Linked DNA regions of Rattus norvegicus. The protein of the gene in region 1 interacts with the protein of each later gene in a biochemical or structural test. Links are inferred from orthologs where the notes say so. Each region holds a gene or a part of one and is shown on either strand. Other genes may lie near its edges.

Evidence for each region.
Region 2: the proteins of F5 (region 1) and Pros1 form a complex in vitro, tested with the Homo sapiens proteins (2 studies listed by BioGRID). The link is inferred for Rattus norvegicus from reciprocal best matches to the Homo sapiens genes F5 and PROS1.

Annotation. Positions count from the first base shown.
Region 1 is NC_086031.1:79,084,292-79,095,450, forward strand, and holds part of F5 (coagulation factor V precursor), read left to right. Parts: intron 1-1,067; coding exon 1,068-3,786; intron 3,787-4,720; coding exon 4,721-4,895; intron 4,896-9,439; coding exon 9,440-9,676; intron 9,677-11,159. UniProt on the Homo sapiens protein: Central regulator of hemostasis. It serves as a critical cofactor for the prothrombinase activity of factor Xa that results in the activation of prothrombin to thrombin.
Region 2 is NC_086029.1:13,751,004-13,762,162, forward strand, and holds the end of Pros1 (vitamin K-dependent protein S precursor), read left to right. Parts: intron 1-601; coding exon 602-827; intron 828-5,558; coding exon 5,559-5,719; 3' UTR 5,720-6,855; downstream 6,856-11,159. UniProt on the Homo sapiens protein: Anticoagulant plasma protein; it is a cofactor to activated protein C in the degradation of coagulation factors Va and VIIIa. It helps to prevent coagulation and stimulating fibrinolysis.

The DNA.
Region 1 (11,159 bases):
CTGGAACTGTTTTTACAAACATGGGCTACCATGTCTAACTTTTTAGAAAAACAAAAAACAAAACAAGAACAAACAAACACACAAAAACACGAATTCTGGGGAATCAAACTTAGGTACTTGTGGCAGCTGAACCATCTCCCCAGACCCACTTTTCAGTTCTTAGCAGAGACCATCCCACCATCCAGGGAACAATCATTAGATAAGCCTTAGAGGCTGTCTCAGAGACCACATCGGCATATAAGACCCAAGTTCAAACCATGCTCTGCCACTTGGTGTTTTTGTAACTTGAGACAGCTTACTCACCCTCACTAAGCTTTAAGTCACTCATCCTAAAAGCAGAACAGTGCTTTACAGAGTTTCATCAGCTCCTAGCTGTAAGATATGCAAAAAGATATGCCTAGCACTCCACACATGGCTCCCACTGGACATGTCCCAGGTCATCCTTAGTGTGTCAGTAATTCACTTTCAATGTGACTCGAACTTACTTTGTCCTCACATACATCATTTCCTAGAAATACCTAAATATCCTTTTTTTTTTTTTTGGGTGGGGGGGAAGAAACAATCTCATCATCTCCCAAACTCCAAGTCTTAGACAAAATGTACAACTAAGAAGATATTAATGATTTTCAAGGTCCATTTTATCATCAATCCCTGCACCCTTTTTCTTGATATATTCTAAAAGTGACTCTTAAAAAAATCCAAACTGGGGGCTGGGGATTTAGCTCAGTGGTAGAGCGCTTACCTAGGAAGCGCAAGGCCCTGGGTTCGGTCCCCAGCTCCGAAAAAAAGAAAAAAAAATCCAAACTGAAGGTCTATTTTTCTCCTTAATTTCCACAGATCATAACTACCCTAGCCTACAAGTACATTGACCTTGTGATTAGATTCCAAAACAAAGTCAAGTTACGTTTTTTTAAAACTTCCTAAATATCTTATTCCTGGTTTTTTCTTTTTATGTCACCATGACTCAGTAACTCACCATTCACTAGAAATTTTTTTCCCCAACAGATCCTCCTGTTTCAGTAACTTTTCGTGAGCTTTCAGCCTTCTCTTCTCTGTCTTTTATGAAGGAACTTGGATGTTGACCACCATGAGTTCCAATCCAAGACGCAGAAACCTAAGATTGAGATTCAGGGATGTTAAGTGTAACCGGAATGATGATGACGATGAAGACTCATATGAGATTTATCAACCTCTTGAACCTACATCCATGACAACTCGGAAAATTCATGATTCTGTGGAAAATGACTTTGGCATAGAAAACGAAGATGATGATTACCAGTACGAACTGGCGTCAACACTAGGAATTAGGTCATTCAGAAAGTCATTGTTGAATCCGAAGGAAGACGAGTTCAATCTCACTGCTCTCGCTCTAGAAAACAGCTCTGAATTCATATCTCTAAGCACAGACGGAGTTGTTGACTCAAAATCCTCAAGAAACCTTAGTAAGATCACCAATAATAACCTCAACGACTCTCAAAGAACACTTTCTGGCTCAGGAGCCACCATAGCTGGTATCCTACTTGGAAACCTTACTGGCTTAGGTAAGAACTCCGTCCTCAACCCTTCAACAGAATATCATTCCAGCTCATATTATGAAAATGATATGGAAGACCCACAGTCGAACATCACAGTGGTATACCTACTTCCTCTTGGTGCAAAAGGATCAGGGAGTCGAGAACAGACTAAACCTAAAACAATCAAGACAGGAAGACCCCACAGGATGAAGCACAGGTTCTCCTGGATGAAAGCTCCAGCCGGAAAAACTGGGAGGCATTCAAATCCAAAGAATACTTCTTCCAGAATGAAGTCTGAGGAGGACATTCCTAGTGATTTGTTACTCTTAAAACAAAAGGTCGCATCCAAACTTTTGAACAGACAGTGGCATATGGCTTCTGAAAAGGGTAGTTATGAAATAATACCAGCAAATGGTGAAAACACAGATATTGATAAGCTGACAAACAGTCCTCAAAATCAGAATATCTCAACGCCTTGGGGAGCTAGCACCTCTCGCATAAACACGACAGGGAAGCCAAGTAACCTCCCAACATTTTCTAGATTTAGGCATAAATCTCCACATGTAAGACAGGAGGAGGAAAGCGGTGACTTTAAGAAAAGACAGTTGTTCATCAGGACACGGAAGAAGAAGAAGAACAGGAAGTTTGCACTACACAGTCCTCTGTCTCCAAGGGGCTTTTACCATCCGAGAAGAGAAGACCATCCTCCACTTTTAGATAGAAGACTACTCAATCATTCATTACTACTCCACAAATCCAATGAAACAGCTCTTTCCACAGATCTGAATCAGACCTCCCCTCCAGTGAGTACTGACAGGTCACTTCCTGACTATAATCAGAACCCTTCAAATGATACTGAGCAGATGAGCTCTTCTTTAGACCTTTTTCAGTCAGTGCCACCAGAGGAACACTCTCCAACATTTCCTACCCAAGATCCTAATCAAACACACTCTACCACAGATCCTAGCTACAGATCCTCTCCTCCAGAGCCCAGTCAAGGGATCGATTATGACCTAAGCCATGAATTTTATTCTGATGACATTAGTCAAACATCTTTCTTTCCAGACCAAAGTCAAAAGTCACCTCTCACTTCAGATGATGGCCAAGCAATCCCTTCCTCAGACTTAAATCTCTTTACCATCTCTCCAGAATTGGATCAAACAATTATTTACCCAGACCTGGATCAGTTGTTCCTTTCTCCAGATGACATCCAGAAGACCTCCTCCCAAGACCTGGGTCAGGTGACCCTTTCTCCAGATGAAAACCAAGAGACCTCCTCCCAAGACCTGGGTCAGGTGACCCTTTCTCCAAATGAAAACCAAGAGACCTCCTCCCAAGACCTGGGTCAGGTGACCCTTTCTCCAGATGACATCCAGGAGACCTCCTCCCAAGACCTGGGTCAGGTGACCCTTTCTCCAGATGAAAACCAAGAGACCTCCTCCCCAGACCTGGGTCAGGTGCCCCTTACCCCAGATGACAACCAGAAGACTTCCCCAGACCTAGGTCAGGTGCTCCTTTCTCTAGATGACAAGCAGAAGACTTACTTCCTAGACCCAGGTCAGGTACCCATCTCCTCAGACCAAAGCTGGGAGACCTCCTCCACTGACCTTAGCCTACTGACTCTCTCTCCGAAATTTGGTCAGACAGTCATTTCCCCAGACTTGGATAAGATGCCCCTCTCTTCAGACAACAGTCAAGTTACCCTTTCCCCAGACCTCAGCCTCTTGACCCTCTCACCAGATTTTAATGAGATAATACTATCCCCAGACATTGATCAGGTGACCCTCTCTCCAGACCTCATCCAGACAAGCCCTGCTCTTAATCACAGGCACAAAACATCCTCTGCAGACCCTGGTCAAGCATCCTACCCCCCAGATTCTGGTCAGTCTTCACCTCTTCCAGAACTGAATCAGACTCTTCCTCATCCAGACCTCATTCACATGCAGCCTCCTTTACTATCTCCCACACCTAATGACACTTCTTTGTCAAAGACATTTAACCCCCTTGTTGTAGTAGGTCTCAGTAGAGTTGATGGAGACGATGTTGAGATGATTCCAAGTGAGGAGCTAGAGAGCATTGACGAAGATTATCCTGAGGATGACTATGTAACCTACAATGACCCCTACAAAACAGACACCAGGGCAAATGTCAACTCCTCCAGAAACCCTGACACTATTGCAGCATGGTATCTCCGTAGCTTCGGTGGGAACAAAAAATTCTACTATATTGCTGCTGAAGAAATATCCTGGGATTATTCAAAATTTGCACCAAGGTTTGACTAGTTTTCTCTTTACACTCTCATTCTTTGTCACCACTGCTATGAAAATCACCTACATTTCTTTGGGGATAATTTTGAACAAATGATACTTCATATAATCTGAGTCTCCAGTGATAGTTCCTTTGTCATTTCCAATATTAGCTTCTACATTTTAGGTGACACCCAAGCAAAACAAGAGCCATTACTATGGAAGTCTGTGGTATCCCATCTGTCCATTTATATTTTGTTACCTGTATCTTGAGGATCCTATCATGAGAATCCTTGCTCAGACCAGTGTCTAAAAACTTAGGGATAATTATGCTTTAGCAAAATCAAAACTCAGAATGTCCACTCTTAAGGTAAAGGACACTTATCCATAGACTTTTTATACATACTGTAGAAATACTATACTATAGGACTATTATAGGAATTTGCTGTCTAGACTATAGTAATACTATGTAAGTTTAATAAATGAGATTTGACATAGCCCAAAAGATCCTAGGAAGTCTTACCTAAGAAAATATATTTGAGCAGGGAATTAGGATATATGTAATCACCTGTGTTTCAATTACATATATTTACTAGCTCATAGATGGAATGGTCATTAAATATTCTATGCTAGTTACCAGATTATTTCTTAAGTTCTTTTCAATTTTTTAATTTTTATTTTATATGTATTTTGGATACCGGCATGTATGTATGTGAGCCATGTGTGTGCCTGGCACCCTCAAATGCCAGAACATCCATTATATTATATTATATTATATTATATTATATTATATTATATTATATATTTATTTTATGTTATATATTAATATATATTAATAACTAGAACTGGAGTTACAAGTGGTTGTAAGCGTCCCAAAGTAGGTGCTGGGAACCAAACTTGGATACCCTTAACAATTGAACTATTTCTTCTTTTAAATGGATACTATTGCTGTCATTTTAGTGAAATGGACAATGAAGAAACAGACAACACTCCAAAGGACACCACATACAAGAAAGTTGTTTTCAGAAAATACCTTGATAGTACTTTCACAAGCCGTGATCCTCAGGGGGAATATGAGGAGCACCTTGGCATTCTTGGCCCTGTAATACGTGCTGAAGTGGATGATGTGATCCAAGTAAGTCTCATGTGAACCTCCTAGATCCTCAGGAAACTTACCACAAGCACCAAAACATTGCTAAGGTATCAGCAACCTGGGAAGTGATTGGCTTCCCAGAATTAACAAATAACAGCATTCTTTCCTCACAAAGACAGCCTGGCTATTTGACAATTTTTGAACTACAGAAAAGATCTTACCCTTCTTAACAGTGAAAATGATTTAATCTGGAAGAAATAGCACTGAGATTTCTAGCTGAAGCCAGCCTGTCTTGAACTAACCTGGAAAATGGCTGAAGTAGGGATGGCAATAGCATTGATTTATAAATATGTCCCAATACTTTCTTAAGAGACAAGATAAATGAAAAGGAAACTAGGAATCAGAGAAAAGATGTCTCTCCACCATAAATGAGTGAGCAAGTTTCTTAAGTATCTTACCAGATTTAGTCATTGATTGCTTTCAAAATCCTGTATCTAGTTCCCAGACAGTAGCTTATTTTTATTGTTGTAGGGTATCTGGGCAGCCAGAATTCAAATTGGGAGTCTTTATTAAGCAAGCTAGCGACTGCCTGGTGAGAAACACTTTCAGAGAGCAGCCCCGCAGAATGCATATTTTAGGGAGTTGTTAAAGACAAAGAGCATAGAAAAGCTACATCCTGATTGGCAGTTGCAGAAGGAAGCAAGCAAGCAGTTTAACAGAAGCCAAGCACATGCAGTTAGCTGGGTTTCTACAACAGTGTTGGATGCTTTCCCACATGACTTTTCAGGGTATGCCTTAGAAACCAAAGATGACTTCAGCTGAGACAAGATGGAGAAACCTTTACCCTGTTACATTGTAACAGAGTTTAGCTCCCCCGTACTTCCTCGCCTCTCACATATCAAACAAAACAAATTAATAATAATAACAATAAACAAACAAAACACACGAGAAAATGCTGTGGATCTAAAGTAAACCATTCTGTGTCCAAAGACATAACATTTTATTGGTGTGAATATTTGCCAAATTGTCAATGGCCATTTGCTCTTTTCCAAAGGGCACACAGAGGGTGGGGGAGATGACTCAGTAGGTAAAGAGTAACCACTCAGCATGTGATACGCAAGACCCTGTCCTTGAACTCCAACACATCAAGACCAATCAATCATAAAAGATAATGGGAATCTGTTTTAGTCAGCTTTCTGTTGCTGTGGTAAAACTCAAGATAACCCAAAGGAGGAAAAACTTTTATCCCATGATTTCATCCATGATTGCTTGACTCCTTTACTTTGGGTCCTCCACTGAGGCTGGACAAGATGGCTGCTTACCTCATGGTGGCTAGAACTTAAAGAGAAAGAAAGGGATGTGCCACTGCCCTGAGATTGCTTCAGGGCATGCTCCAGGTAGCCTGTCTTCTTTCTTTCTTTCTTTCTTTCTTTCTTTCTTTCTTTCTTTCTTTCTTTCCTTCTTTCTTTCTTTCTTTCTTTCTTTTTTTTATTCCTTTCTTTCTTTCTTTCTTCCTTTCTTTCTTTCTTTGACCCAATTGATAAGATATAATTGCCCACCTTAACATACAAAGCCCAGTACACATCCATCCTTTAAGAACATTAATAACAACCTGTAAATACATAGAGTGGAATCTTTACGTCAGCTTCCATTTTTCTCTCTGCCGTGATTAACCTCTCTGTCCCTCCTGTCTCCTCTTTCTGTTCCAGTCTCCTCCTCTTCCTTCAAACTTTTCTCCTGCCTATCCTTCCTTCTCATCCAATGACAGGCCTCCTTCTAACCTGTACCTGCCCTCACCTGTATTTTACAAATTAAATGGGGAGAAGGGGTGAAGTCACCTGAGACCTGAGTACGTGACTAGGCAGCCGTCCTTGAGCAATGGAATCAGCATCAAGATATAGATAACTCCAGGGCAAATCACAACACCTCCCCCTTTTTATCCAGTTAAAAGGCCTTTTCACTTATATGAAAATTGAGTACAATTATTACCATTCTACAATTTATAAAACACACTCAACACCCAGCCCATCAATTTTATCCATTAACTAAAGCACCTTGTCACCTATCCTAAAAGACTATAATTCTATACCTGACTTATATCTTGGTTTGAGATCGTATGCCATCTGAAAAACCACCCTTTCAAATGTATTATCCTTCTCAATGCTAAACAGCTTGGGTTGTCTACAAGACTACCAGTTTTCAACCACATCAGAAATCTTTGAATGACCAAATATCTATACACATAGAAAGTCTAACACAGCTTGCAGAACTGAGAGGTTGTAGAGACAAATCTCCACTAGCACAGTCCTCTGTTAGCAACATGTGAGTGCAAGTCTTTGTCCTTCTGGCCCCAAATCAACTGACAGACTCTTGAAATGCTGAGTTTTGAAGGGTTGATCACCTTGTCTTGGCAGAGCTTATCAGTCAACTATTCTGCATAATGTGTCCTTTTCTGGACAGCATTAGTCTGCAGATGAAATAGGCAGTTTTGTTCAATGGCTTCCTAGCCACAAAGTATTGCCTCACCTGGAGATAGAGATGTGCAAATTCTTCATTAAATCTGCCAAAGGGGAACTGTTAGGAGCAGCTACGTCTCAACAAAAGATAAATAACTTTAAGTCTCAAATTTTGTGGATTTCTGACATTTTTGAAAACCATCTATATAAGACAATCTGGACTGTTGTCTTTATATCTTAATATTATCTTGAAAGTACTCTCACAAAGTCAGAGCCATGAATTTGCTATTTGGCCCTTAACTCACATGTGTAATCAACTCAGAAGTTTGTAATGACATCACAGAAGGACTGGCTCTAAACCTTGTACTTTTAAACTTTTTTGATGAATAAATTCTATACCAAAGCAAAGATGTGATTTTAGCTTAGTTACCAAATGAGATTATGACTGTACAATTCAATCTTGCTAATTCCTCTCTGTTAAAGTACAACCAATTTTAAATTCCTAATAAAGACAACTTTAGAATAACTGCTTTCAGCCCCCCCCAAAAGTCCAGGGAATTGGAGTGATGACTCCTCCATAACTTCTTCAAGCTGTACATGGGCGTTGAGATATCCTTAAGGGTATGGGTTAGGGAAAATGAAGCAAATGCTGTAGCCGCTGTGTCCTGACTGGATCCAGCTGAAAGTCCTTGAGACCAGGAATCCAAGTAGGCACACTCTGCAAATTGTAAATACACAGAGTGGAATCTTTACATCAGCTTCCATTTTCTCTCTGTCGTGGCTGATCTCCCCTGTCTTCTTTTATTAAGCACATGGCCTCACATGCTAAAGGTTTTACCTCCCAAAAGTGTCACAGGCTGGTAACTAAGCCATTGTCAACACATGGTTTGGGGGGGGGGGACAAAACAGTAATAGGACTCTTAATAGTTCTATACATCCCCTGAAAACATACGGAGCTTTCTGTCAAGTGATTGGTCACTAGAAATTACAGAGGAAAATGACCAGAAGATTCCCCCATGAGCCTGATGACTCTATGCCTAGTCTCAGCTGTCATTTTCTAACCTCATTTGTCACCAGGGGCTTAGTCTATCTGTGCATTTCCCAACCTAGCCACAGACAGGCTTTCCCTGCAGACATCTTTCTGCTCTTCTGGGAATCTAAAATGACCATGTTCTGATTTGTTCGTTTTACAAGGGCCAATCCCATTTTTCTTAAGAACCTTTCCATCGTTCTTCCAAATTCTCCTAAACATTCAGCTGTGTTTCCAAGGCAGCACCCTCCCAAACCCATTTACACTCTATGCACAGCATCTGTTATATCCAGATTCGTGCTTTGGGTTCACTCACGTCTCTCTCTTCACTAGTAATACAAAAGCTTATTACGATCAAGAGCCATGCTTTATTCAGGTTCAAATCTCACTTGTGGATACGTTAGGTTTTGTTGCTGTGACAAAATATACAGGGGAAACGATTTTAAACGGTAAGATTTCTTTTGGCTTAGGGGATTGAGTGCTTTCAGTTTATAGTTACCTGCCCACCATCTCTGTGGGACTGGGTTAAGGCACAGAGTATCATGGTAGGAGGCATGTGGCGAAATGTAGCTGTGGAGTCCTGGAAGCAGACAAGAAAAAGAAGGGACCAGGCAGATGATAGATATGTCAAGAGTGTGCCCCAACGAGCCTCTTCCTACCTAGGTTCAACCTCCTGGTTTTCACCACCTTCCAATAATATAATCAAATTATGAATCTGCCATCCTATTTATCTGTTGGCCAGAGCCCTCATGGTATAATCACTATCCTGAAGTCCCAAACAAGCTCTCAACACATGAGTCTGGAACAGACAGTTCAAGTCATTAGAGAAGTAACTTAGGATTGAACTGTAGCTTGAGCCTAAGAGCACATTTTTGTGTTTTGAAGGTAAGTTGGTCAGGGCCTAACTCATGTGATCATTGGTAAAATAGATCAAATAATATGCATTAATTAGGTTGCAATTATAGGCACCCAGTATACCCTAGCTCTGATATCGTAACTGCCTGTCACAGCCTGTATCGTTGTGGTTTTAGTTTGGTGTTGCTTGCTATGTTAATACATTTGTAGGTCACTCTTCTCTCTCTCTCTCTCTCTCTCTCTAGGTTCGATTTAAAAATTTAGCATCCAGACCATATTCTCTTCATGCCCATGGACTTTCCTATGAAAAGTCCTCAGAGGGAAAGAATTACGAAGATGACTCTCCTAAATGGTTTCAGGAAGATGATGCTGTCCAGCCCAATAGCAGTTACACATATGTATGGCATGCCACTGAGCGCGCGGGACCAGAGAACCCCGGTTCTGCCTGCCGGGCTTGGGTCTACTATTCTGCAGTGGATGTGGTAGGTTTCAGTTCTGACCTCTCCCTCATCATATAGCCCCAGTTCACCTTTTCTTGTTAAAAGTCTCTCCTGTGAGGTGTGCGGTGGGGACACATGCCTTTAATCTCAGCACTCAGGAGGCAGAGGCAGGTGGATGTGAGTTTGAAGACAGCCTGGTCTACAGAGTGATTTTCAGGACAGCCAGGGCTACACAGGGAAACCCTGTCTTGAAACCTAACACCTCCCATGACCAAAAAAAGAGCCTCTCCTGCTCGTTATGGGGCACAAGAAAGGGCTACCATCCACAGTGTGCCTACCATGGCCTCAGATTCTCCCGACAGTTCATCAGAAATGGCACAGAGAAAAGCGTTCATCCGCGGATGTTATGGGGATTGCATAAATGAGGTGTGTACACAGAGAAACGTGCTCTTTAACAATTTGAAAGTAGTTTAGTCTTAAGTCAGGCTTTTGGAGACTGCAGGGAGTCAGGAGACAAGGAAAGTATTGAGCCAACCGTGTGGGCACAGATCACAGGCTGGCTTTGGGAGTTTAAGGAGCAATGTTTTTCCCTGCTCCAATTAAGCCAGGAGGAGATTCAATTTGTTACTTAATGAATACCCTTTGCTAATAAAGAATTTTTTTTTGTATTTTGATAATAAGTCAACCCCATTCTGAGTTAAATAAGGACACAGGGAGTAGACTGCTGTGTTCCCAGAAAAATAATCCAGGCACATTCCACCCGGAACAGCTCCCACAGGAAGGTAGGAGTCACTGGCTTCTCTAGATGAACTGTGCTGACCGTGGTAAGCTGTGCCAAGCCCCTGTCCTCTTGGCTGGCCTTGGGCACCTAGGAGAGCCAGAGGGATGCCAGCATCCATGCAGTGCCTTCTGCACGCTCAGCTGCCTTCTTTCTCCTTGACCGTGAGACAGAGAGACAGACCTTTGCACAGTAAGAAACCCAGACAAGAGGTGGCTGAGGACTCTTCCCAGGTTCACAGCCAAACAAAACACAGAGCCCTCTACCTGGCAAAGGGCAGCCGCGGTTCCAGTTTGCCCTCAAACACAGATTTCTTTGCTAAGACAAGGTATCTGGGGTTCCCTTTTGTCCCTGGACCAGTGGTTTGGGCTGATTTCTACCAGGGTCGGGGAAGTCAAAGATGTATACTTTGTGGAAGCAAGTGAAGGGGTCAAGGACATCACAGGCCTAGTGTTGACCCCACCTCTTATGAAAGTTCCCAAGGAGCCTCCTGAACTTAGTGCCACAAGAAAAACTATGCTGGTCTCTGACCATGTGGGACCTCCCTGAACACCATGCTCCCGGGGAAAGGCACCCATCATGAAACCCAGGGCAGCCAGGTGGGTGTGTTGTAATGACTCATCTGTACCACAACACAGCAAGGCTCAGTTAGTCTCAGGCAAGGCTGAGGGGAACAAGGCCTGGCCACCTGACTCCTGCACCACTCTGTCATGGAGGAAGCAATTTCCCACTTATTGTACCACACAC
Region 2 (11,159 bases), on another chromosome or scaffold:
CTCTATTTTGGTTTAATTTCCTCTTCACCATCTTAAGTTAGCAACAGAGGTCACTCCCAACAAGTCGAATATTTTGAAAGTTCCAGCAAAATAAAACACTTCTCTTTTTTGAGACTTCAGCTTCCTACTGTAAGTGAGGCTCATAATGCAGGTCTCTTTCTCAGGCCTCTTTCATCACATTGTCCTTGGTCTGTGTGATAACTTGGATGACCCTTCAATGTGTACTAAAGAACTCCAATTTCCTCAACACAAAGTTCACTCTACCTTTTTCATATGTAACTTTTGAAATTAGGGAGACTTGGAGACCTAAGTATGACTTAGGCACATCATGTTACTTTCTTCTGTTTGGCCACCCAACTCAGATGATGGAATTGAATCTTCAGAATTCAGCATATATTATGTCTTATACACAGAGCTTGTAAAACAAATTGATGCTTGAAAATTAATTATTAAAATTTAAGCAACTTTACATTTAAATGTAGAGTCTCTATCATTTTTTTCTTTTGTTGAAATTTAGGTTGGAGTTTCCAAAACACAAAGTCATCCCTAAGTGGCTTTGCCTTCAGTGTTGTTTATATGAAGTCTTTGCTCTTCTGTTTAGGACATTCTGGTATTTGTTGAAAATTCAGTAGCAGCTCACTTAGAAGCCATAACTCTGTGCTCGGAACAGCCATCCCAGCTGAAATGTAACATTAACAGAAATGGACTGGAACTGTGGACCCCAGTTAGAAAAGACGTCATTTACTCTAAAGATCTCCAAAGGCAACTCGCCATCTTGGACAAAACAATGAAAGGAACCGTGGCCACTTACCTGGGTGGCGTTCCAGGTATTTTTCTTCAGTTCTACAAGCATGTTTTGAATGAAATATCTTGTTCATAGTTCTGGCTGTCCTGGAACTCACTATGTAGATGAGACTGGCCTTTTGAACTCAGAGATCCACCTACCTCTGCTTCATGAGTGCTGGGATTAAAGACATATACTACTATGCCTGGTCAAATCAATAATATCTTAAACCTGGAATTTTAGTAACAAGGCATTGAAAAATGAAGACAAACTTGAAATATCCCTTACACTTTATGTCATTTAATCCCAGTCTCATGATAATGTTGTAAGGTAAACACTTATTGAGTTTATTCATCACTAGTATGTTTGTTTACTCTACATTTAATTCATCCATTAAGAGCATAAACCCAAATAAGCAAAAAGTTATAGTTGCTGCAACTGGGGCTTTTAAAGTTTAGTTGAGGAGGTAGACATGCAGCAACTCAGTAAAGAGGTTTCAAAATAATTAAAATTATAATGAATTCTATGAAAGCAAGTAATTACAAATCAAGTTTAGAGCATAAAAATAAGGACTTGACTTGGTGTTGAGGACAGGGCCAGGAACAATCTCTCTGAATAAAAGATCATCTATCAATTTATCTATCTCTCTGGCATTTAAAGACTTAAGTAAACTTAACTAGGTGGTAGAGATGGGTGGATACTGCAGTGTATATAGGTAGAATGGTCAGTGTGTGTGCATAGATGAATATGAGAGGATGACTAAGGCAATCTGAGACAGGAGGTAGTGCAGGATGAGTCTATAAAATGGCTAAATGGGTGACTTACAGACTTGAGTTAGGGTTTTGTTGTGGAAGACGTGAGTGTCATTACAGTGTTTAAAACAAGTTAGGGCATATAAATATTATAATTTCAAATTTTAATTCTGGATGAATAATTCCAAGTGGGGAAAGCCTAAGTATGTATAATTCAATTGAGTTCAGGGGCTATAGGATAGCCTGAGGACATAGTGATAATATTGTCAACATCACAGTACCTCTACCAGTGCATGGTAGTCTTCATACCATACAGGGTCCTTGTCTTAGTTTCTGTTTCGTTGCTGGGAAGAGACACCATGACCAAGGCAACTCTTATAAATGACAACATTTAATTGGGTCTGGTACAGGAAACATGGCAGTGTGTAGGCAGATATGGAGCTGGAGAAGTTGCTGAGAGTTCAACATCTTGAACAGAAGGTAGCCAGGAGGGGAGTATTCCACAGCCATCTAGGAGGAAGGGTCTTTTCTGCCACGAGCAGAGCTTAAGCATAGGACTTCAATGCCCAACCCCACAATGACACACTTTCTCCAGAAAGGCCATACTTATTCTAACAAAGACACACCTTCTAATAGTGTCACTCCCTACAGGCCAAACATTCAAAACATGAGTCTATAGGGGCCAAACCTATCCAATATTTCAATTATTTTATTGTTCATAATAGTGATATGGAAGGTTCACCTGGCAAAAAGGAAGCTTTGGACTAGGGTGGTAGTAGCATTCTTCATTGAATCAAGTGAATCCAATAGAGATCTAGAAGTAAAATCAGTATAATTTCATAACCAGAATACAGGTAAGCAAAGGATAACTCTGACATTAATAGTTTTGTGATAGGATTACATTTTCAAAGTGGGGAAAATTGGAGGAAACTCAGGTTCATGTTTAACTTAATATTGGACCTCTGACATTAGCATCAACATGTTACTTTAAATGTCAAATAAAAAAAAAAGGGCACAAAGATATTTAGGATCATTTTTTTTCTTTCAGTCCTGCTCATAGATTACTCTTTTTTGGAGAATTCTGAGTTGGGAATCTTAACAACCTTGATTTTTTACACTCTAAATGCTCAAGGTTAATGCCACATATGTGGACCTCCTTTCTAGTATTTTGGGGCATGGAAGGAAAGGGGTTTCAAACGTTACAGGTAGAAAAGGGATATAGAGTCCAAGTTACCAGTCTGGTTAGTTATTAGGAAGCATGACAGCAGTGAAATTGGGTGAACTGAGGCTGTATTGAGAGTTACTCACAAATTAGCTGAATGCATTTTTAGGAAATCAAATAAACAATGAATTTATTGAAAAGATATAAAAATACAAAATTTTTAATAACACAGTAGTTGAATTTAAAGAAAGATTGAGGCAAACTTGAGAGGAAACTAAAATTGAAATATTTTAGAATATAAACTATCAAACAAATATGTTATTTCTTCTTCTTTTTCAAAACTTGGTTTTTCTTTCTTTTTTTAATTTTTTCTCCATCTTTATTAAATTGGGTATTTCTTATTTACATTTCAATTGTTATTCCCTCTCCCAGTTTCCAGGCCAACATCCCCCTAGCCCCCCCCTCCCCTTTTATTTGGGTGTTCCCCTCCCCATCCTCCCCCCATTACTGCCTTCCCCCCAACAATCATGTTCACTGGGGGTTCAGTCTTGGCAGGACCAAGGGCTTCCCATTCCACTGGTGCCCTAATTAGGCTATTCATTGCTACCTATGCAGTTGGAGTCCAGGGTCAGTCCATGTATAGTCTTTGGGTAGTGGCTTAGTCCCTGGGAGCTCTGGTTGGCTGGCATCCTTGTTCTTATGGGGTTGCAAACCCCTTCAGTTCCTTCAATCCTTTCTCTAACTCCTCCATTGGGGACACCATTTTCAGTTCAATGGTTGGCTATGAGCATCCGTCTCTATATTTGTCAGGCTCTGGCAGAACCTCTCTGGAGACAGTTATATCAGGCTCCTGTCAGCATGCACTTCTTAGCCTCAGCAATATTGTCTGGACTTGGTGGTTGTATGTATATGGGCTGGATCCCCAGGTAGGGCAGTCTCTGGATGGCCTTTCCTTCAGTCTCTGCTCCAAACTTCATCTCCATATTTCCTCCTATGAATAATTTTGTTCCCCCTTCTAAGAAGGACTGAAGCATCCTCACTTTGGTGGTCTTTCTTGAGCTTCATGTGGTCTGTGGATTGTATCTTGGGTAATTCAAACTTTAGGGGTTAATATTCACTTATCAGTGAGTACATGCCATGTGTGCCTTTTTGTGATTGGGTTACCTCACTCAGGATGATATTTTCTAGTTCAATCCATTTGCCTATGAATTTCATAAAGCCATTGTTTTTGATAGCTGAGTAGTACTCCACTGTGTAAATATACCACATTTTCTGTATCCATTCCTTTGTTGAGGGACATCTGAATTCTTTCCAGCTTCTGGGTATTATAAATAAGGCTGCTATGAACATAGTGGAGCATGTGTCTTTGTTACCTGTTGGAGCATCTTTTGGGTATATACCCAGGAGTGGTATAGCTGGTTTCTCAAGTAGTACTATGTCCACTTTTCTGAGGAATCTGCAGACTGATTTCCCGAGTGGTTTGACCAGCTTGCAATCCCACCAACAATGGAGGAGTTTTCCTCTTTCTCCACATCCTCGCCAGCATCTATTGTCACCTGAGTTTTTGATCTTAGCCATTCTGACTTGTGTGAAGTGGAATCTCAGGGTTGTTTTGATTTGCATTTCCCTTATGACTAAAGATGTTGAACATTTCTTTAGGTGCTTCTCAGCCATTCGGCCAAACTTGGTTTTTTAAAACAGGGTTTCTCTGTGTAGTCCTGGCTGTACCGGAACTCATCCTGTAGACCAGGCTGGCTTTGATCTCAGAGATCTACCTGCATTCACCTTCTGAGTTCTGGGATTAAAGCTGTGCACCACCACTGCTTGAATAAATTACTTATATACAAATTAGTCATGTTTAAATTGCTTTTGATAAATGATAATTAAAAGAAAATTGATTTAAAGATTTTTTTAAAAACTAACTTTTGTTTATAATATGTAGTTATTATATATACTCTTGGGGGCCATGTCATAATGAGTGATAACACTGTGGTTAAAATAATGTATATATAATGTCAGGGACATCAGCCAGGATTGAAGAGGATTCCTAAAATATGCATTTAGCTCCTAGATACAGATTTTGTCACTGTCTTTAGAAATTTTAAGGTATATATTTTTGGCATAATATGCTTTGAGAAAGAAGCACAAGAGATGTTCACTGTAAATTCAAATCCATAAGGAGGAAATGCCAAAAGAGTGGAAGGTGTCTTGGACTGTAGTTCTAAGGAGACAAAGAAGCTAAATCGACAACTAGGACAAACCCTGGTAATGGGATTCCAATGCAGCGAAGCCCAAAGGCATCAATGACCTCAAATGACTCACTTAGGAGCAATCCAAAACTTTGTTCTGCGGGACAATAGTATCACATAAAAGTCAGTCCCTTATTATGACTTGCTTTTATGCTCAGCCAGCAACTATTTCTTGATAAATATGAAAAACCAGTTTTTATTTCAGAAATTATACAAGGGTATGTTTGCCATGGCATTCTAAAAGGATTTCTAAGCCCCCACAATTTCGAGTCGAAGAGGTGGTCAAATCACTCAGAGATGTTGCTCGCATTTAAAAAGAAGCCAACATATATTATTTTATAGTAAATGTGGAATATCATAAGCATATACTCTCTCCTCCTCTTCAAGTGTGAACATTTCCCTTTAGTTTGGTTGGCAATGATAGCAGTTATGAAATCAGAAGGACTCATACGCTGACCTCCATGCCCAACATAACATTGCTGAATAGATTCACATTAGTAATTTTTCCTGTAGGAATTTGTTTGGAATTTATGAAGTCTGAATAATTCTTTTAACTGTAAACAAATGAGATGCAGAAGTATCGGGTTAATCGTCAGACACTGTTTCCACAGATATTTCCTTCAGTGCCACACCAGTGAATGCTTTTTACAGCGGCTGCATGGAAGTGAACATCAACGGGGTACAGTTGGATCTGGATGAAGCCATTTCCAAACATAATGACATTAGAGCTCACTCCTGTCCGTCAGTGAGGAAAATCCAGAAGAACTTCTAAAGTCTGTTTCCTGGGCTTCTAATCTCTCTTTTCATATTGTAATTATGCTCTTGTTCATGTTTCCATCACCAAATGGCAGGATTACATGTGTTATATGCATGTTTAAATATGATGTGGTACTTTGTCCTTCAGATTTTTGTTATATAAGTCGCATTTTTGAAAAGTCTTGTACTCACTGCTGTCTAGAAATTAAATAACAAAACACATGAAACATTTAAATTTCAATTTATTTCCTATAAATGACACGGCTTTAGTTTTTTTTTTTTTTTATTTTAAAGGTAAGATTCATCGTCATGGAACTAGTATTTAAATGTTCTGTTTTTCTCAGAAGACGAATCAGTTAAACCGAAACAAAAGCTCATGGGACTAAATGCTAACAGTTGGAGAGCGACACTGTATTTTTGTTGTTGCTTTTTGCCCACGACAGCGACAGAGCTGATAGCATACTGCATGAGAATTGGAAGGAAGGTCTCAAAGCTTTATTCTAAAGTAATTCCGAGGTGTGGGGAGCGCCTAGTTTAGGCTTCATTTTTCTTTCACTTGACTTTACACTTGAGCCAACACCTTCACCGAATTAGAGACCAGGGGCACATTTTCACTGGAGCAACACCTGAATGTTGTCTCAAAGGCATTGGTTTCTCTCCAAGACATCAGGTTATGCTGTAAGGGGGGTGTGAACATTGGGCGCGCACATCACTCAACCTAGGCTGTTTAGAGCACATAAGGTCAGAGTCAGAAAGGCAGCTGTTCTTAATGGTGGGAAGGAGAGTGAATACATCAGTAAATTCATAGTTGTCCTTCACATTGGATTTTAACAACTATAGGTGGTTTGAATGGGATTGTTGAAGTTAAAAATGTGACCAAAAGTAGATTTTTTAACAAAGCGATAATGACAAGACAGATGTTCGATAATGTTACATGTTCCAGCTTTGTAATGAAAGAAACACGAAGGTAAGATTGTCAAATATTTGCTGATAGTGCATTGCAAGTGTCAGGCTGCTTTGTCGCTCCTGAGTTGATGATCATTTCAGGTGTGTATCAGGTACGTCATTGCTATCTGAGAAATTGAATTTTATTTTACTGTAGATATTTTGCATCACATGAAACATAATAAAAGGATACATATTTTTAAAATACATGAGCAGTTTCTTCATTTTAACTACTCATAGCCTAGAATTAGATAACAGATGTCTAAGTCTTCACACAGCATAGTAGAACTCCAGCTGAAAGACTGGAAATTGGAAATCCTTGGTGAATGGTTATGTTGGTTGTAGAGTGGGGCTCAGAAAGGGAAGGAGAGCAAGAGTAAAAACACCCTGAGTACCATTAACGTGCTGCACATTGTGTGGGTTGTGGTGGGGTGCAACTTTTCTCCTGCTACATAGGATGAAGAATAGTAGGTGACTACTGATTAGGCTGGTATAAAAGAGAAGGATGGGACCAAGATGATGTCTGAGGGGATTAAGTTGGTGTTGTACAATCAAGAGAACAAATTGCATTAGGGTCCTTGGTAGTCACAAAATGCCAGGTGTAGTTCCCTGTATTTCAACACACAGAATTGGTGGAGTGAAACAGAAACAGGTAGATTACAGGGGCTGAGTGGCTGCCAATCCAGCAGAAAATACCTCAAGGTCTGGTAAGAAATAGTATCTCAAAAATTAAGAAGGCAAGCAAAAAAAGAAAGGTACCCTGTGTCTCCACATTTGCATGACCCCCACGCACTACACACACACACACACACACACACACACACACACACACACACTCAACACTGAGGAATAAAACAGTGAATATGATCAAAATACATTTTGTACATGCATGAAATGAGATAGCAAAACACAAAATTATACATAATTAGTTAAAATCTGTTAATAAAACAAAGGCACAAATAAATCACATTTTGGAGATTCTGTACTTCTCATTTAATAATGCTATACATGTAGGCAGTGCTGGAGATCAATTCCAGATTTTGTATCAGAAGGAAAAACTTTCCTATGTACAGTGAGGAATATAGGATAATATATATATATATATATATATATATATATATATATATATAATATATATATACATATACATATTTGCGATACATACACACGAATCTAGGAAATAACACTCATCTGGGCTTGATGAACAACTCTCAGATTCGCAGTCGTTGGAGTTTCAGTTGTTTTTTTTCCAGGTTGTCTTAGGAAATGAAAGCAGTGTAGCTTCTGTCAGGGCTCTCATATCAGTCCTTCCCTCCTCAAGGAGACTGCTTTGATGGTCAGTCACACAGGTTACCTGATATAGCAATGTTCAAATTTCCAGAGACCTTATCTTTGAAAAATTGGATTGGCTATGAAAGTATCAGTGTCTACCTATTTTGTGCTTGTGTTTTCAGAGTACAATGGTAAGGTGAACTTGTCTGTGTCAGAGTCCTGTGAGGCTTTGATACATATTAATATGACCAAGATAGTGTGATAATATTGAACTATGAAAATTGCATCATTATCTCGCTCATGTACATTGAATGTTGAACTAGAGATTGTCTTGAAAAACAGGAGAGAAAAATATCTTACTTCTACTATGGTGTATTTACTCCAGAGGAGCTGACTCATGCACAAGAGATTCTAAGAGAGTCTGAGTTTGGTAAGGTCAGTAACAGAGAAATCAACCTTTGCAGAGGATTACTAAGGAGGGAGAAATGAATTCCCAATGAAAGTTTAGTGAGCTGTGGACTGAATGAAGACACATGTGGATTTCTATTAAATTTCCCTACAGTCCAGTCCTGTCTTTCCAACTGTCTTCTCTGATGCTCCTGTTCGTAAAGTACATGTGACATCTCCCTTAAAAATGGATTGTGTAGACTGACTGAGAAACAATGCCAAAGATACGAATCTAGAGAGGATGACTAAGGTAAGAAAGAGTCTGGGAGAGGTTGGTCCAGCCTGGCCATACTGATAGTATGGATGTCAAGAGGCCGTTAACCATTCCCATTCCCAGTCTTTTCTCCTTTGAAGCATGTTTAACATTCCTAGTTTCATTAGTGTTTATCTGTGAACAGAGCACAAAGCTCTCTGTGCCAACTACACAAAGTAAAAAGCAAAGAAAAAAGGATGGGAAGAAAGAAAGAAAGAAAGAAAGAAAGAAAGAGAGAGAGAGAAAACCCAACAGAAATAGACAATGGAGAAAGAGAAGGAAAGAGTAGAGAAGGGTAATAATACCTCGATAATTTATCCACAGTGAGGATGTTGATCTGTGGAGATGGTGCATTAATGGCTTAGAGGTGGAGCTAATGGCCAAGTAGCTGCTAGAGATCACAGACCATAATTTATTTTCCACCCAGGGTTTCCCTGTAAGAGAAGATAGGAAGCCATTCCTATCTAAATGTCATTGTGTGAAGACTTGGATGAACGCTGCTAAATAACTTCTCCCTCGGGCTGAAATTCCTAAGCTATGTAATAATAGAAGTCAACTGAGCCACTTGTCTCAAATCTTTTGTTCCTCTCAAGTTCAGTACTCTCGTCCAGCTCTTGTCTAACACAAACACAGATCCTGAGCACTTTCTAGATGCAAAAAGCTAGGGGGGCAATAAAAAAAAAACTCCTGTATTCATGGATTTGTGGGGAGCACACAATTTGTCAAACATTGTCCTTCTTTGGACACCTGCACTGTGAGATGGAGCAAATCACAGATATAAAGATAGCTAGATTTGGAGATGAAAAGAATGTTAGACACCCAACTCAAATGGGCAAAGTGTCTTGTGTGGTTCTTTTTAGATGTGTTAGTCAGTTTTCATTTCACAAAGCAGGTGACAACTCAGAAAGGTGTGGCTTTTAATTTAGTTTATGGTTTCAGTTCATGCTCTTTGGACTCTAGGTTTTGGGTTTGCCTGTGAGAGAGTACCTTAGGAGAAAGATGAGAAGGAGCAGGGGGTGGGCGTGTGTGGTGGCAATACACTCTCCAAGGACTCTGGTCAATAACATAGCATCATCCCACCATGTCACACTTTCTACAGATTCTTCCAACTCCTAATAATGCCGCAGGCTGGGTGTACTGATTGGTTTTATGTGTCAACTTGACACAAGCTAGACTTATCCAGAGAAAGGAGCCTCCCTTGAGGAAATGCCTCCATGAGAACTGGCTGTAGGGTATTTTCTCAATTAGTGATCAAGGAGGGAAGGGCCCAGCCCATTGTGGGTGGTGCCATCCCTGGGATGGTGGTCCTGGGTTCTATAAGAAAGCAAGCTGAGTGAGCCAGGGGAAGCAAGCCAGTAAGCAGCACCTTCCATGACCTTTTCATCAGTTCATGCCTCAGAGTTCCTGCCCTGTGTGAGTTCCTGTCCTGACTTCCTTTGGTGATGAAGAGCAATGTAGAAATGTAAGCTGAATAAACCCTTTCCTCCCCAACTTGCTTCTTGGTCATGATGTTTTGGTGGTAGAATAGAAAACATTTCTAAGACACTGGGGAATAAGCCTTGAACATATGGCCCTGATAATAATAAATGATTTAAATAACCTTCTGTTAATATCTGTAAACTATCTGATGCACCAAAAATTAATGTTTAGTGTTGATATTTATCTTATTTTTATTTGATTGCAGTGGTAAAACAACATGGCCAAAAGCAGCTTAGAGGAGGAAAGGATGATTTGGCTTACAGTATGTTAGTCACAATCCATTCCTGATGGAATTGAAGGCAGGAACTCAAATCAGGAACCTGGAGGCAAGAACCATGGAGAAATGCTACTTGCTTTCTCACAAACTCCTGCTTAGCTAGCTTTCTTTGACAGTCCAGGACCACTTGTTCAGGAAATTATGGTGCCCACAGTAGGCTTAGCCTGCCTGCATCAGTTAGGAAACAAGACAGAGCTCCACAGACAAGCCTGCAGGCCAACCTGAACTAGGCAGTTCTTCAACTGAGTTACTCAAAGTGACTCTAGGTTGTGTCAAGTTGACAATAAAAGCTAAGTAGTCAAAAGAAACTTTGTGTGCAGGGTCTGTTGGTATATGACTTTAGATACTAGGGGGTGGCAAAAGTAAGATTGTCAGAAGTTCAAGGCCAGCCTTGACAAAGTATCGAGTCACTGTTTAAAAAATAAATATGCCTGGCTGTGGGGCATATTTTTATGTGCCTTTAATCCTATCATTAAAGAGGCAGAGGCAGAGGCAGAGGCAGGTGGACATTTCTGAATTGGAGGCCTCTTTGGTCTCAAGAGTGAGTTCAAAGATAGCCAGAGCTACTCAGAGAAAACCTGTCTCAAAAAGATAAAACAAACACAACAAACAAACAAACAAACAAAACCCAATCACACATGAAAGAAAGGAGTCTGAAAAGAATGAAGAAATAAGGAAGGAAGAGGAAAGGAAAAAAGAAGGAAGAGGGTAGGAAGGATGGAAACCTCATGAATGGAGCCAGTGGATATCAGTGAGAAGTATCTCACAGGCTGTGTATGGCTA